Linked DNA regions of Tribolium castaneum. The protein of the gene in region 1 interacts with the protein of each later gene in a pairwise test. Links are inferred from orthologs where the notes say so. Each region holds a gene or a part of one and is shown on either strand. Other genes may lie near its edges.

Evidence for each region. The genes of interacting proteins can lie anywhere in the genome.
Region 2: the proteins of tum (region 1) and scra interact in a two-hybrid assay, tested with the Drosophila melanogaster proteins (2 studies listed by BioGRID). The link is inferred for Tribolium castaneum from reciprocal best matches to the Drosophila melanogaster genes tum and scra.
Region 3: the proteins of tum (region 1) and pav interact in a two-hybrid assay, tested with the Drosophila melanogaster proteins (3 studies listed by BioGRID). The link is inferred for Tribolium castaneum from reciprocal best matches to the Drosophila melanogaster genes tum and pav.

Annotation. Positions count from the first base shown.
Region 1 is NC_087394.1:20,766,483-20,769,719, reverse strand, and holds the end of tum (rac GTPase-activating protein 1), read left to right. Parts: intron 1-1,123; coding exon 1,124-1,249; intron 1,250-1,296; coding exon 1,297-1,581; intron 1,582-1,633; coding exon 1,634-2,031; intron 2,032-2,081; coding exon 2,082-2,214; intron 2,215-2,265; coding exon 2,266-2,426; intron 2,427-2,483; coding exon 2,484-2,538; 3' UTR 2,539-2,737; downstream 2,738-3,237.
Region 2 is NC_087396.1:20,580,383-20,584,653, reverse strand, and holds the start of scra (anillin), read right to left. Parts: upstream 2,801-4,271; 5' UTR 2,644-2,800; coding exon 2,626-2,643; intron 2,573-2,625; coding exon 2,194-2,572; intron 2,135-2,193; coding exon 1,965-2,134; intron 1,619-1,964; coding exon 1,418-1,618; intron 1,366-1,417; coding exon 762-1,365; intron 714-761; coding exon 554-713; intron 423-553; coding exon 326-422; intron 1-325. Other genes in the region: ZnT86D (zinc transporter 7), read left to right, coding at 3,232-3,418, 3,465-3,682, 3,736-4,271. UniProt on the Drosophila melanogaster protein: Required for cytokinesis. Essential for the structural integrity of the cleavage furrow and for completion of cleavage furrow ingression and proper formation of the midbody.
Region 3 is NC_087398.1:1,086,290-1,090,292, forward strand, and holds pav (kinesin-like protein KIF23), read left to right. Parts: upstream 1-1,203; 5' UTR 1,204-1,397; coding exon 1,398-3,440; intron 3,441-3,485; coding exon 3,486-3,767; 3' UTR 3,768-3,853; downstream 3,854-4,003. Other genes in the region: l(2)34Fc (putative defense protein Hdd11), read left to right, coding at 3,872-4,003.

The sequences.
Region 1 (3,237 bases):
CGCTTTTGAGATTAGGCTAAATTGTGATGAAACGTTACTAACTCAAAAATAATCCGGAAAATAACAAAATTTGGAATGTTAATTTTGTATTTAGCGGACGTTTATAGACGTTTTTAAAGAGTTTTTTGTTATGTAGGTGTAGAGTCTTTGTGTGTTTTAAGCACGTGTTTAAATTGAAAACTTCATTTTGAAATGGAGCATAGGCTTATTAATATTAATATTTTCAATAATATAAAGTCGCCCTGATTCTGTGAGATTATATGGTGATCATAAAATTAGTCTATTATGTGAAATGTAACCGATACCCTATTGAAAAGAAACCCCAGTGGTAAATTATTCTAGCAACTTTTCTAGCAACACCCTTGTCAAAGGGTCCAGGACGGAACTCAAAATAATTTGAGACCGCACAAATTAAATTTGTTTTATATTAAACAATGATAAAATGTTGGCACCTGATAATTTTCATGCTTGCAATCTGGTTTTACAGCAGTAATTATTTTCTTTTCTTAAGTGCTTAAGTGAATTTTGAAAACATTAGGGAAATTATTTGGAGCCGGACCTGGCCGGTGAAAGCAACCAGTCTAGGAGAAGTCAGTTTTTGCAAGGGCGCGTAGGTCTTAATACCTGCACAATAGATGATCCTTAGTAGTGGTAATGAAGTTTATTGTGGTTGTATAATCTTACAAGATCAGGGTTACTATAATAGTATATTATTATATGTGTTTTATAAGACGTTCTCTTGTAGCACGAATGGTTTTGGAGCACGACGAAGGGGTGTTCCAATAGAATGAGTGCCACAATTAAAACTTATAAAACGAGTGCAGTACTATTTTTTCTACTTTCTATTTTTGTTGTTTGTTTTTGTTTAGTTTAACTTATCAAAATCTGTTTAAACTGTTTCCTCTTATTTTTGTTAATTATTCGGGCTTTATGATAAGCGACTTGACCCAGCCACCCAGCCCAGCAATGCCAATACAACTTCTAAAAATTTACTAAAAGGAGTTCACAAGTTCTCTTTGTGAAACTACTTTCAGTTTGTTTGAACAATTTGTGAAACCAAAGTCGAAAAACATATTTTTGTGTTCATTTTTATACTGTTAATATGCTTGTTTTTTGGGATTAGATTGGAGCTGCTGACACCGTTAGAGCAACCACTACTCTAACTCTTAACAAAGATGGTCCTATTACTGCTACGTCTATTATCGAGTCCGTCCCTAAAACTCCGGGAGCCCCAGAATCGGCCCATACGGTTGTATGTTTATATTTGTTTGCGTTTTTCTTAATAAAAAAATTTAGGCCGACTCATACCCCAGTGCCCCTCCAGCAAACCTTGTTTTTGAATCCTGGGCTCGTGAAAGTCCGCGCAAAACTCACCAGAAACTAGCCGGCAAAGAACATTGTTTTCAACAAAAAACTCTTGTAATGCCTGAAACTTGCACATCTTGCGATAAACGAATCCGCTTTGGTAGGAGCGCTTTTAAGTGCAAAGAATGCAAAGCTCTGTGTCATTTGGAATGCAAGAACAATCTTCCTTTGCCATGTATTCCTGTGGTGCATACACCAAATCAACGAAACGGATTGGTATGTTACTAGAAATTAAAAGTAACTCTTGTACTAATGTTAACTTATGAAGGGGGTTATTGGTGATTATACCCCAACAACTCCCCCCATGGTTCCAGCTATTCTTATCCACTGCATAAACGAAATTGAATTAAGAGGGCTCTCAGAAGTTGGCTTATACCGAGTTCCAGGCTCAGAACGTGATGTTAAGGCTTTGAAGGAACGGTTTCTGAAAGGCAAAGGGGCCCCATGTCTTAATCAAGTTGACATTCCTGTGATTTGTGGAACTGTCAAAGACTTTCTCAGGGGTTTACATGAACCAGTCATAACTTACGCCTTGTGGAAAAAATTTGTACAAGCTGTGAATGCTCAGGACCCACTTGACATCCAACCAGCTCTGTATCAAGCCATATCAGAGCTTCCACAACCAAACAGAGACACTCTCGCATATATGATTCTGCATCTTCAGAAGTAAAACAGACAATTACAAGTGGAACAAGTTTAGAAAATTTTATTTTTAGGGTGGCAGAGGCCAAAGAATGCAAAATGAATATCGGTAACCTTGCCAAAATTTTCGGACCGACTTTAGTTGGATACTCGTCCGATAATCCAAACCCGAATAATTTGCTGGATGAAATCGTTCAACATAATATGGTATGTTTTGTTCTATTGCAGGTTCAAGTTTGAGACAAGTAATTTTATTAGGTAATGGAACATTTGCTTAATATCCCATCTGATTACTGGTCTGGTTTTATCAACATCGAGCCGACTTATCAACGTGGAAAATTGCAGCAAACTCCAAGCACTGATTCATTATTGCGTCCTATAGCTCCTAAAGGACTTTTCACACCAGTGAGCGCTAACAGGTTGTTGTCTCATTATAACAAATGCCCCGAAGTTTTCTAATTATTATTATTTTGCAGAAGTTGTGCGAAAAAGAAGCAGAAGTATTTTCCTTCACCCAAGAATTTCCGATAAATTATTACTTATTAATAAGTTTTTTTACATTTTATACTGAAGAAATATTATTTTCTAAACTTTAGCATCTTTTATATGCCTTTTAAATATACCACTGTATATTGTCCAAGTTGATTGGATTGGTTATTTTCAAACTAAGTGGTGTAAAATATTTATGTAAAAACTAATTACGTTAAAATATACCATATTTTGGACTAAATTTGATTATTACTTTGAAGCACCTTTCATTCTTGTTACAAGCAACGAGCGGCTTTTGATAATGGCACCAACAAAAGAAATACGTCGCATAATAATACTAATAATTATAAATACCGGGTGCTCAAAAATCGGCGCACCAACTCAATGGAGTGTGATGGAGAACTGCTTACACATAAAGGTAAAAATAGTAAAAAAATTCTTTATATTAAAGTTATTGATAAATGACGAATTTTAAATAAATGATATGTGGCAACGTTGTCTAACAGTCGTGATCGCAATTGAATTTGATCAACAATAAAAATAAATTATTTTTCAAACGGTTTCCTAGGAAATCATTCCCAGTGTTGGCACATCTGCACATTGTGATTTTTTCGATGAATTCTAATTTTTTTAAATTGAAAAAACTGCTAAAGTCTGTTAGTAAATTTAAAAATAATTATTCATCGTTTTGTTAGGTAACTATTACTTAGTGCGAAACATAAAAACATTAAAAAATAATAA
Region 2 (4,271 bases), on another chromosome or scaffold:
CAATGAAATTTGATAGTGAATTTAACTATTTTTTATTTTATTGAAAATTTCAATACATACTCCTAGTTTAGATTTTTTTATAAAAAAACTAGACGTTAAAATCGCATGAAACAATACAGTCCCATTAGTAAGCTACAATATCTCAAGAATAAGTCAAGGAAATTTTTATCTCCGACTCAATTTATTAACATGCATTTGCAAAAAATATTTGTTTTTTTATTCGCTTCAACAGTTCCCGTAACCTTAACCCACCTAAATAAATTTTAGTCCACTTCACTTGTGGCGCGATTTAAGCGTTTTTAATTTCATGAAGCAAAAAACTTACTCTTTTTTGTGGCGTTTGATTCTGGCAAACCGCTCGCAGAATATCTCGACCGAAACTGGTATTAGCATCGTCAGATTCAGCAAAACTGTTGTCGCTGCTAGATCAAGGGAAAAAACAAACAGTTGTAGTAAAATAGTTATATTACACATATAATACAGTCAAAAAAGAATACTAATTGTTTAAGAAAGACATAAAAGGAATAAAATCCAGTCGGTAATTTTATCGCACCTGTTTGTTGTTGGACTCGGACTCTCATTCTCAGTCTCAGTCACTGACTCAATATCCGTCAAACTTGGGTATAATCGGCCTGTTTTCTGCGACGCCACTTTGATTCGCTTCACTTCGCTTAGAACAGCCGCCACTTTCGGACTATCGCCTTTACCTGTAACTAACTCAATTGATTAAATTAATCAATTTGAAAAATAAAGAAATTTACGGCTTCTTTTGCCACTGCTCCTTTTTTCCTTCGGACTAACAACAGCAACTTTCTTCGCCGATTTTTCCTCAATCATGGCCGTTTCTTCCGTATCATCATCAAACTCCTCCTCGTCATTGTTCTTATGGAATCTATTCAACAACAAATCCATTTCTTTCTGCCTTTGCTCCCTCACATTACTCTCAATCTGTTCCTGCGAAATTGTGCTTTTTTGCTCAAACAAAGCCGCAACTTTATTCGCAATTCCTTCGCCCCTTGGTGTCGCCACTTCTTTTTTTGGTGATGGTGGCGCAGGGACTTTTTTTTCTTTCGGGACATCTTTTTTGATAGGTGTTGCCATAGCAAATGGGGCTTTGGGCACCAAAGCTGCGCCTTTGTTTTTCTCAAACAGGGCTTTCCTTTCCGAAACTGATAACAAAGCCGGATCTTTTGGCTGTTTGTTGGGACTTGATTCAAAGAAGGCCGCTTTATCAGCAATTTTACTTTTTTGGGGAGAAGAGGCGGGTTTTGTGGTTGCTTGTTCATTTTCTTTGTTTTGTTGTTGCGCCTTGTATTTGTACACCAATTTAGAGCTGGATTCTGTCCGCTGGAAGCCTTGCGATTCCTGGAAATGCTCGGGAAATTACATTGTAAAGTTCAATTTATTGGAAAATTACGAGAGAATCGAGCACTTTCTTATCCCAATTTATTTTCTTCTGTTCTTGTTTTTCTTGATCTTTGATGGGTGGTTCTGGGGCTTTGTATTTTGTCGCTGATTTTGGTGGCGTGTTTGGGGTTTTTGGTTCTGGGGGCTTGGGGGCTGGGGGTTTCCACGATTTTTTTGTTTTGGCAGGAGAATTGTCCCGCTCTTTACGCACCTAAAGGCACGTTTAAATAAAAAATTTACGTTTTCTTCGACTTTCCATTTGGTATTTAAAGACATACTATCGATATTTCATTAAATATTCTGTAATTTTTTATTTTTATAATAATAAAGCAACGAGAAACGTTGTTAATTGTGGTTATACTGTAATGTTAATTATTCAAAGCCTGTCGCATAATTGCATTAAATTACTTTAAAAAAATGTACGTAAATATCCCACAAGTCTTACAAGTTATATTGTTTCGATAATTGTTGGCACTGACGTAAGAAGCAATACATAATTAAACAGAAAACAAGACATGAAAAAGTTAATTGAATTTAACTTTTTTACAATGACTTACTGGAGTCAAGTCGTCCTCAAACTGATTGACCCTCTGTGCCAAGTCGGCCAGTTTGCTCAGCCCCCTCTTATTCCTTCCGTTTTCTGCCGGTGTTTTCGTTGGAGACCCATGTGCACAAAATCTAGCTTCTGTCTGATGAATTGGCGAAGAAATGTCCGCATCGTCGCCCCCTTTGTCCCCCAATCAAAACAAAAATAAACCCGAGTCAAAGCAAAGCCTTCTCTCTTACCTGCATACAATTTCCCCAACCGATTTAGCCTATTTTTAGCATCCTGTCTCAGACCCCCGTCACTCCTATCATCATCACTCTGCTCCTCAATTTGCACTTCAACATGAACATTATCAGCCGAACTTACTTTAATTTCCATGTTAAAACTATCGTTTTGTATATTTAGGCTTTTATGAGAGGTGAAATCGGATGAGATGTGAGTGCGTGTAACTGTTGGCAAATTACCTTCAGACTTGGAATTGGCTTCCAACTTGGGCGAATTCGAGCTTAAGTTAGGTTGAGACAACGTTACTTTACCGCTGCGAGGGGGAGTCTTCCTCAAGTCACTGTTGTAGTCTTCGAGGAGTCTCTGACGCTCCCTCGCCCGAGTTAGGAGATTCTGCGGAAAAAACAAGCGGAAAATCGGAAAATGGGGCGAAAGTGCGCACGTACCTCCGTAAACGAGTCCATTTAAGTGCAAGGTCGCCCCGTGATAAATCAAATTCACACTTTGTGCATAAAGTTTGGTTGTTGATAAATTACCGTTGAAGGTTCGATTTGAAATAGCACTTCGGGAAAGCGCCACCGGTGGCACTGTCGCCCATAATCCAAAATCTAGGGACTTCAATTTTGGGAAAAAACTCAAAATTACTCAAAAAACGACCAAATTGACCACATTACAACTTTGAAGATTATTTTACTTGCACAAAAACACAAACTTGACCCCAGTCTTGATTCCAGTCACTAGTCTCAATTAAAAAAACTTGTAAAGAAATTGGTTGGTCAAGCTGGGAAACTGACAGTTGCCAAAATTTTGACAGTAGTTCCGACTTTTTGAGTATATTTTGCATTTTTTTGCCAAAAATCCTAATTTAAATAGTGTACGTGTCACACTAGCTGATAAAATGAGCGAATTATGATTACCTGAAGTCGGGTTGAAGCAAAATCAAGTGTAATGGCAAAATTCAAGTTGGGTGAAACACGTATGCAATTTTATCAAAAAATCTGATAATGACCGGTCTCTGCCTGTGAATATCGGCCTTCCGTGACGAAATCATCATGTTGCCACTGTCGCACAAGGATAATTTGCACCGGGGCTTCGGGTCCCGAATTAAGGAGAAGTTGAACGGGTGGATGAGGTTAATTTTTTCCGACAGGAACTCCCGCAATTTGTTTCTGTTCCTGCTTCTGAACCTCTCGTTTGCGTTTGTAGAGTTAGTTTATGGTGTATGGTCTAATAGCTTAGGTGAGTTGTTGTGCTTGTTACTATTTTCGTGAAATGGTTGTTTTAGGTTTAATATCCGATTCCTTCCATATGTTTTTCGACTGTACTGGCTTATTAGCCGGCTTGGCCGCGTCCGTAATCACGAAATGGAAAGCCAACGAGAAATATTCGTACGGTTACGTCCGTGCTGAGGTTTTGGCCGGTTTTGTTAATGGGTTGTTTTTGCTTTTTATCTCGTTTTTTATCATGTCGGAAGCTGTAGAGCGTGCAATAGAGCCCCCTGAGGCAAGAATTATTGTTAAATTATTATTATTTTCATTAATTATTAACTATTTTAGGTGAAACACGAGAGGTTGTTTCTGGTCTCAGTGCTGGGCCTTTTAGTCAATTTGGTGGGAATTTACGCCTTCCAGCACGGCCATGGGCACTCCCACGGTGGTGGCGGCCACGGTCACTCCCATGGGCACAACCACAACTCCCATGGTCACTCCCACGACCACACTCTGGACATAGATATAGCAGCAAGTGGTAATTCGCAAATAATGAAAGGAGTGTTCCTCCACATCCTGGCCGACACTTTGGGAAGTGTTGGTGTAATAATTTCGGCAGTGTTAATGCAAATGTTCGGTTGGATGATTGCTGATCCAATTTGTTCGATGTTTATTGCGATTTTAATAGCGTTAAGTGTGCTAGCGTTGATTAAAGATTCCGTTGTTATTTTAATGCAGAGACAGCCGTATGCACTTGATAATGTTTTGCCGCAGTGTTACCAGAAAGTGGTCAGTTTGCCAGGCGTTTATTCGGTGCAAGAGCCCCATTTTTGGACCCTTTGTAGTGAGGTTTACGTGGGGGCGCTTAAATTGGAAGTATCAAA
Region 3 (4,003 bases), on another chromosome or scaffold:
AAATCCCCCACTTTCAATTAAACTATAATTTGAAAGTAAAATGCACAGAAATAAAGAGTGGGTTGGTTAGTTCCAACTTCGGTCTAGAGAAGAGATCAAGTAGAACAGGTGAGTACGATTTATTTTAACCACGTCAAGACTTTTTCATTTATTTTTATTTTATAAAATTATTGTGTGAAAAATTTTTTTTCGTTGTTTCGTAGGGTATTTTAATCAATTCACTCATTAAGAAAAAATTGAACGTTTTATTATTATGAAAGGGTCGGAACTTTAATTTTTTATACAGCAGACTTTTAAAGCCCAGTTTCGCTCAATTCCAATTCACTAATTTGTTAATCAATTAAATTAAACCTAGCAGGTCACCGTTGTGCAAAGAACCTAAATCAAATCAGTCTTTTCCGGCCATTTCCGGTTAAAAAAAAATTATGCCACCGATTTTTTTCAAAGTGATTGTAAAATGACCTCCAATATCGTAAGAAAGTGACAAGAATATGCTAATGGTTCATGAAAAAAATCACTAGTGGACAAATAAAGGTGACGTCTGCATTTGGAAAGTGCACTTAAGTAAAACAATAAGTCATGTTTACCCAATAAATAAACAAATTCGAATTTAACGTGTCACATAACTTATGGAAAAAAAAGTTTTCAGTAAATGAAATCGTTTAGTCCGCGGTCCGCCTCAAGCAAAACCACCCCTAAAATTTGTCAAACAAACTACGGAATTACTTAATAAAAAAAACACTATAAGATAAACCTTGAAAAAGGCTTTTACAACACTTTGTAATAAACAATAAATAAAATAACCTTACGTTCCGCCTCTTCAAAACCACACTTATGCATAAATTTTCTTTGTAACCCATGTCCTTAAGTGTCTTCGTTTTTCTGCAATCATTGACCTTTGAACAGAACCCGGGGGGCCCAGATTTTGAAACGCTACCTAACATTACATAATGCCAGTAAAGAAAACCACCAAATATTTACATAAAATGACGTGTTTTCCCAAAACCGGCTTTAATTATTACACAAATAACACTCTTTTCCCTGTTCGACTTTTAAACACTTTCTAGGTTACCTTTTTGTTTGTATGTCAAATGCAAATGTCAAAACTGACAACCGAAAAAAAAATTTTTTAACACTTTAAATGAAAAAAAAAACAGTTTTTTCACAGCACTATTATTATTATTTATTCGTTACTCGCATTTTTGTGAATTAAATAATCAAGCATAAACCAACAAATAAAAAACTTAGCGCGCTTAGAGGTCGCTCTTACAGAAACCTGTACGGTTTTTACTGTCAAATGGTTCAAATTCAAATTTTGAAAGCGCAAACGGTTATTTCTGTCACCGTCTTGTACGAAGTGAACGTTTTTAAATTCAGTCAAACAATTAACAAACGAAATGAACCCTGTGAGCAAATTCACGCCGAAAATCCGGCGCGAGAAAACCATCACAAAAACAGACAAAGACCCCGTGCAAGTTTTTTGCCGGCTTCGCCCCCTTAAAGGTAACGAGGAATCGACTTGCATCCGACTGTTATCACCGACGACACTCGCACTCACCACCCCTGCCGAATCAAAAATCATTCGTAAGGAAATCCACTGCAAGTTCAAGCACATTTTTACGGCCTTCGCCACCCAAAACGAGGTTTTTGAACATGTGGCGTACCCCCTTTTGGAGGATTTACTCAAGGGTAAAAACGCCCTACTCTTCACTTATGGGGTCACGGGGTCCGGGAAGACGCACACGCTGACTGGGGACCACAACAACCCGGGGATTATGCCCAAGTGTATCTACACGATTTTTAATTCGATTTCGGCGTTTCAAGCCCCCAAGTGTGTCATTAAGTCGGATAAAATGAACGGGTTTGAGGTGCAATCGCAGGACGACGCCATGCAAGATCAGTTGGCTTTGCTCAGAGCGTCCTCCAAGAGCACCCCCAGGAGCACCGTTAAGCGAAACGGGAAGGAAAAGACTTACGTTAACGACGGTATTAAAATCATGGACGTTAACGAGGGCAACTTGTACTCGGTCTTTGTGAGTTACATTGAGATTTATAACAATACGGTGTACGATTTGTTGGATGAGAACACCGGGAGCCGGATGCAGGGCAAAATATTACGTGAGGATTCGAATAAAAACATGTACGTGAATGGGGTTGTCGAGACTGAGGTGAAGTCGGCCGAGGAGGCGTTCGAGTTGTTCAACATCGGACAAAAGCGCAAAAAAATGGGCAACACAATTTTAAATTCAGTCTCAAGTCGGAGTCACTCAATTTTAAATATTCGACTCGTCCAGCTGGAACAATACTCCCACAATGCTGAGGGACGTCCCATGATCCCTGACAGCAACCTCCTCAAAATCTCCCAACTGAGTCTAGTTGACTTGGCGGGTTCTGAGCGCACAACACGAACTCAAAACACCGGCCAGTTGTTGAGGGAAGCCAGTCAAATCAACAACTCGCTCATGTCTTTGAGGACGTGTCTGGACGTTTTGAGGGAAAACCAAACGACCGGAGGCAACCGACTGGTGCCGTATCGCGACAGCCGCCTAACTCTCCTCTTCAAAAACTACTTTGAGGGCGAAGGTCGTGTCGAAATGATCGTCTGTGTGAACCCCTCAATTGCCGACTTTGAGGAGAATTTACAAGTCATGAAGTTCGCCGAATCGACCCAAGATGTGAAAGTGGCACGATCTGAACCGAAATACACACCGTGCAAAAGCAAAATTACGAAGAAAACACCAATGAAAAGCAAGGCGAGTTTGTTCACACTTGGGCCAAAAATCCCCGAATTCAAGCGACATTTTTCGAGTCTTGACGAAAGTCACGTCGCTTTGGAGCGCTTAAGCAACATTTTGAAAACCCGATTTGAGAAAATCAAAAGTTTGGATGCGACCTTGGACCAGGAGGAGGCGCGGTTCAGGAAGCGCTTGCTGGAGATACAGCAGGAAAACATTCTGGGGAAGTCCGAAGTTAAGAGTAGTAAAGCACTGCTTAAGAAGGAGAAACAAAGGTCGTACAACATGGAGGCGAAATTGGCCGACGCCGAGGCCCGGGCCGGTGATTTCCGGGCGAAAATACGCGACTATCAGGATGAGATAGCGTCGTTACGCAACATTATTGCCGAGAAGGATTTGAAAATTAATAAAAACATACTAGAGAAGGAGAAAACCAAGCAAAAGCTGGCCCTCCAGACGGAGAAAATGACCCAGGAGCTGGACGCGAAGTTGCGAAGGCAGCGTGAGCACTTGCAAGCCGCTGCCAAAGCCAAGGAAAACAAGCTGCAAAAAGTGCGCGAAATCCTGGATAAGGAGATAACGCCGCCGGAAATAGAAGAGGAGCAAGCGCCTCTGGAGGAGACGCCCAAGCAGCAGACGAGGAGGCGATACGTGGGGACGCCGGCCGCCACCAGGAGGCGGTCCCGGTCCGCGGGGCCCACTGAGGTTGTTTACCGTTCTATTGTTTGATTTTTTTAATAGGGGTTGTAGGTGTGGCTTGAGCACAATTCGGTTAAGCCAGTGCCGCTTGGTACCGTCCTTCAACCGTCCATGAAAAAACGCAAGTCGGTTACCAAGTTGAGTAAAGCTAGCGATGTTACGAACCCGAAGCAGAGCAAATATTGTCTGATAGCGCAGGAACAGGACGATGGTGGGGTTGAAACTAGGGTTTACAAGGGCGATATTGTGCCCACGTGTGGGGGCGGGGCCCAGGTGATTTTTAACGATGTGGAGAGACTAAGACAGGAGTCGCCAACGGCTGATGCGGATTGATTTTTTTTATTATAATAAGCTCTATTTTTTTATTTGTTGGTTTATGTGTGATTGTACTTAACTGGATAATAAATTAATTTATATCAGAGGTTTTTTCTAGAGCAATGCGAGCCGCTTTGATTGTCTTTTCCGCCCTTGTGGCAACCGCTTGGGGCTACTCTGCCGGCGCCCCCGAATCCGTCTGTGATGATATGATTCCTAAGCACCCAGTCTTGCCCCAAAAATCCCCCCTTCCT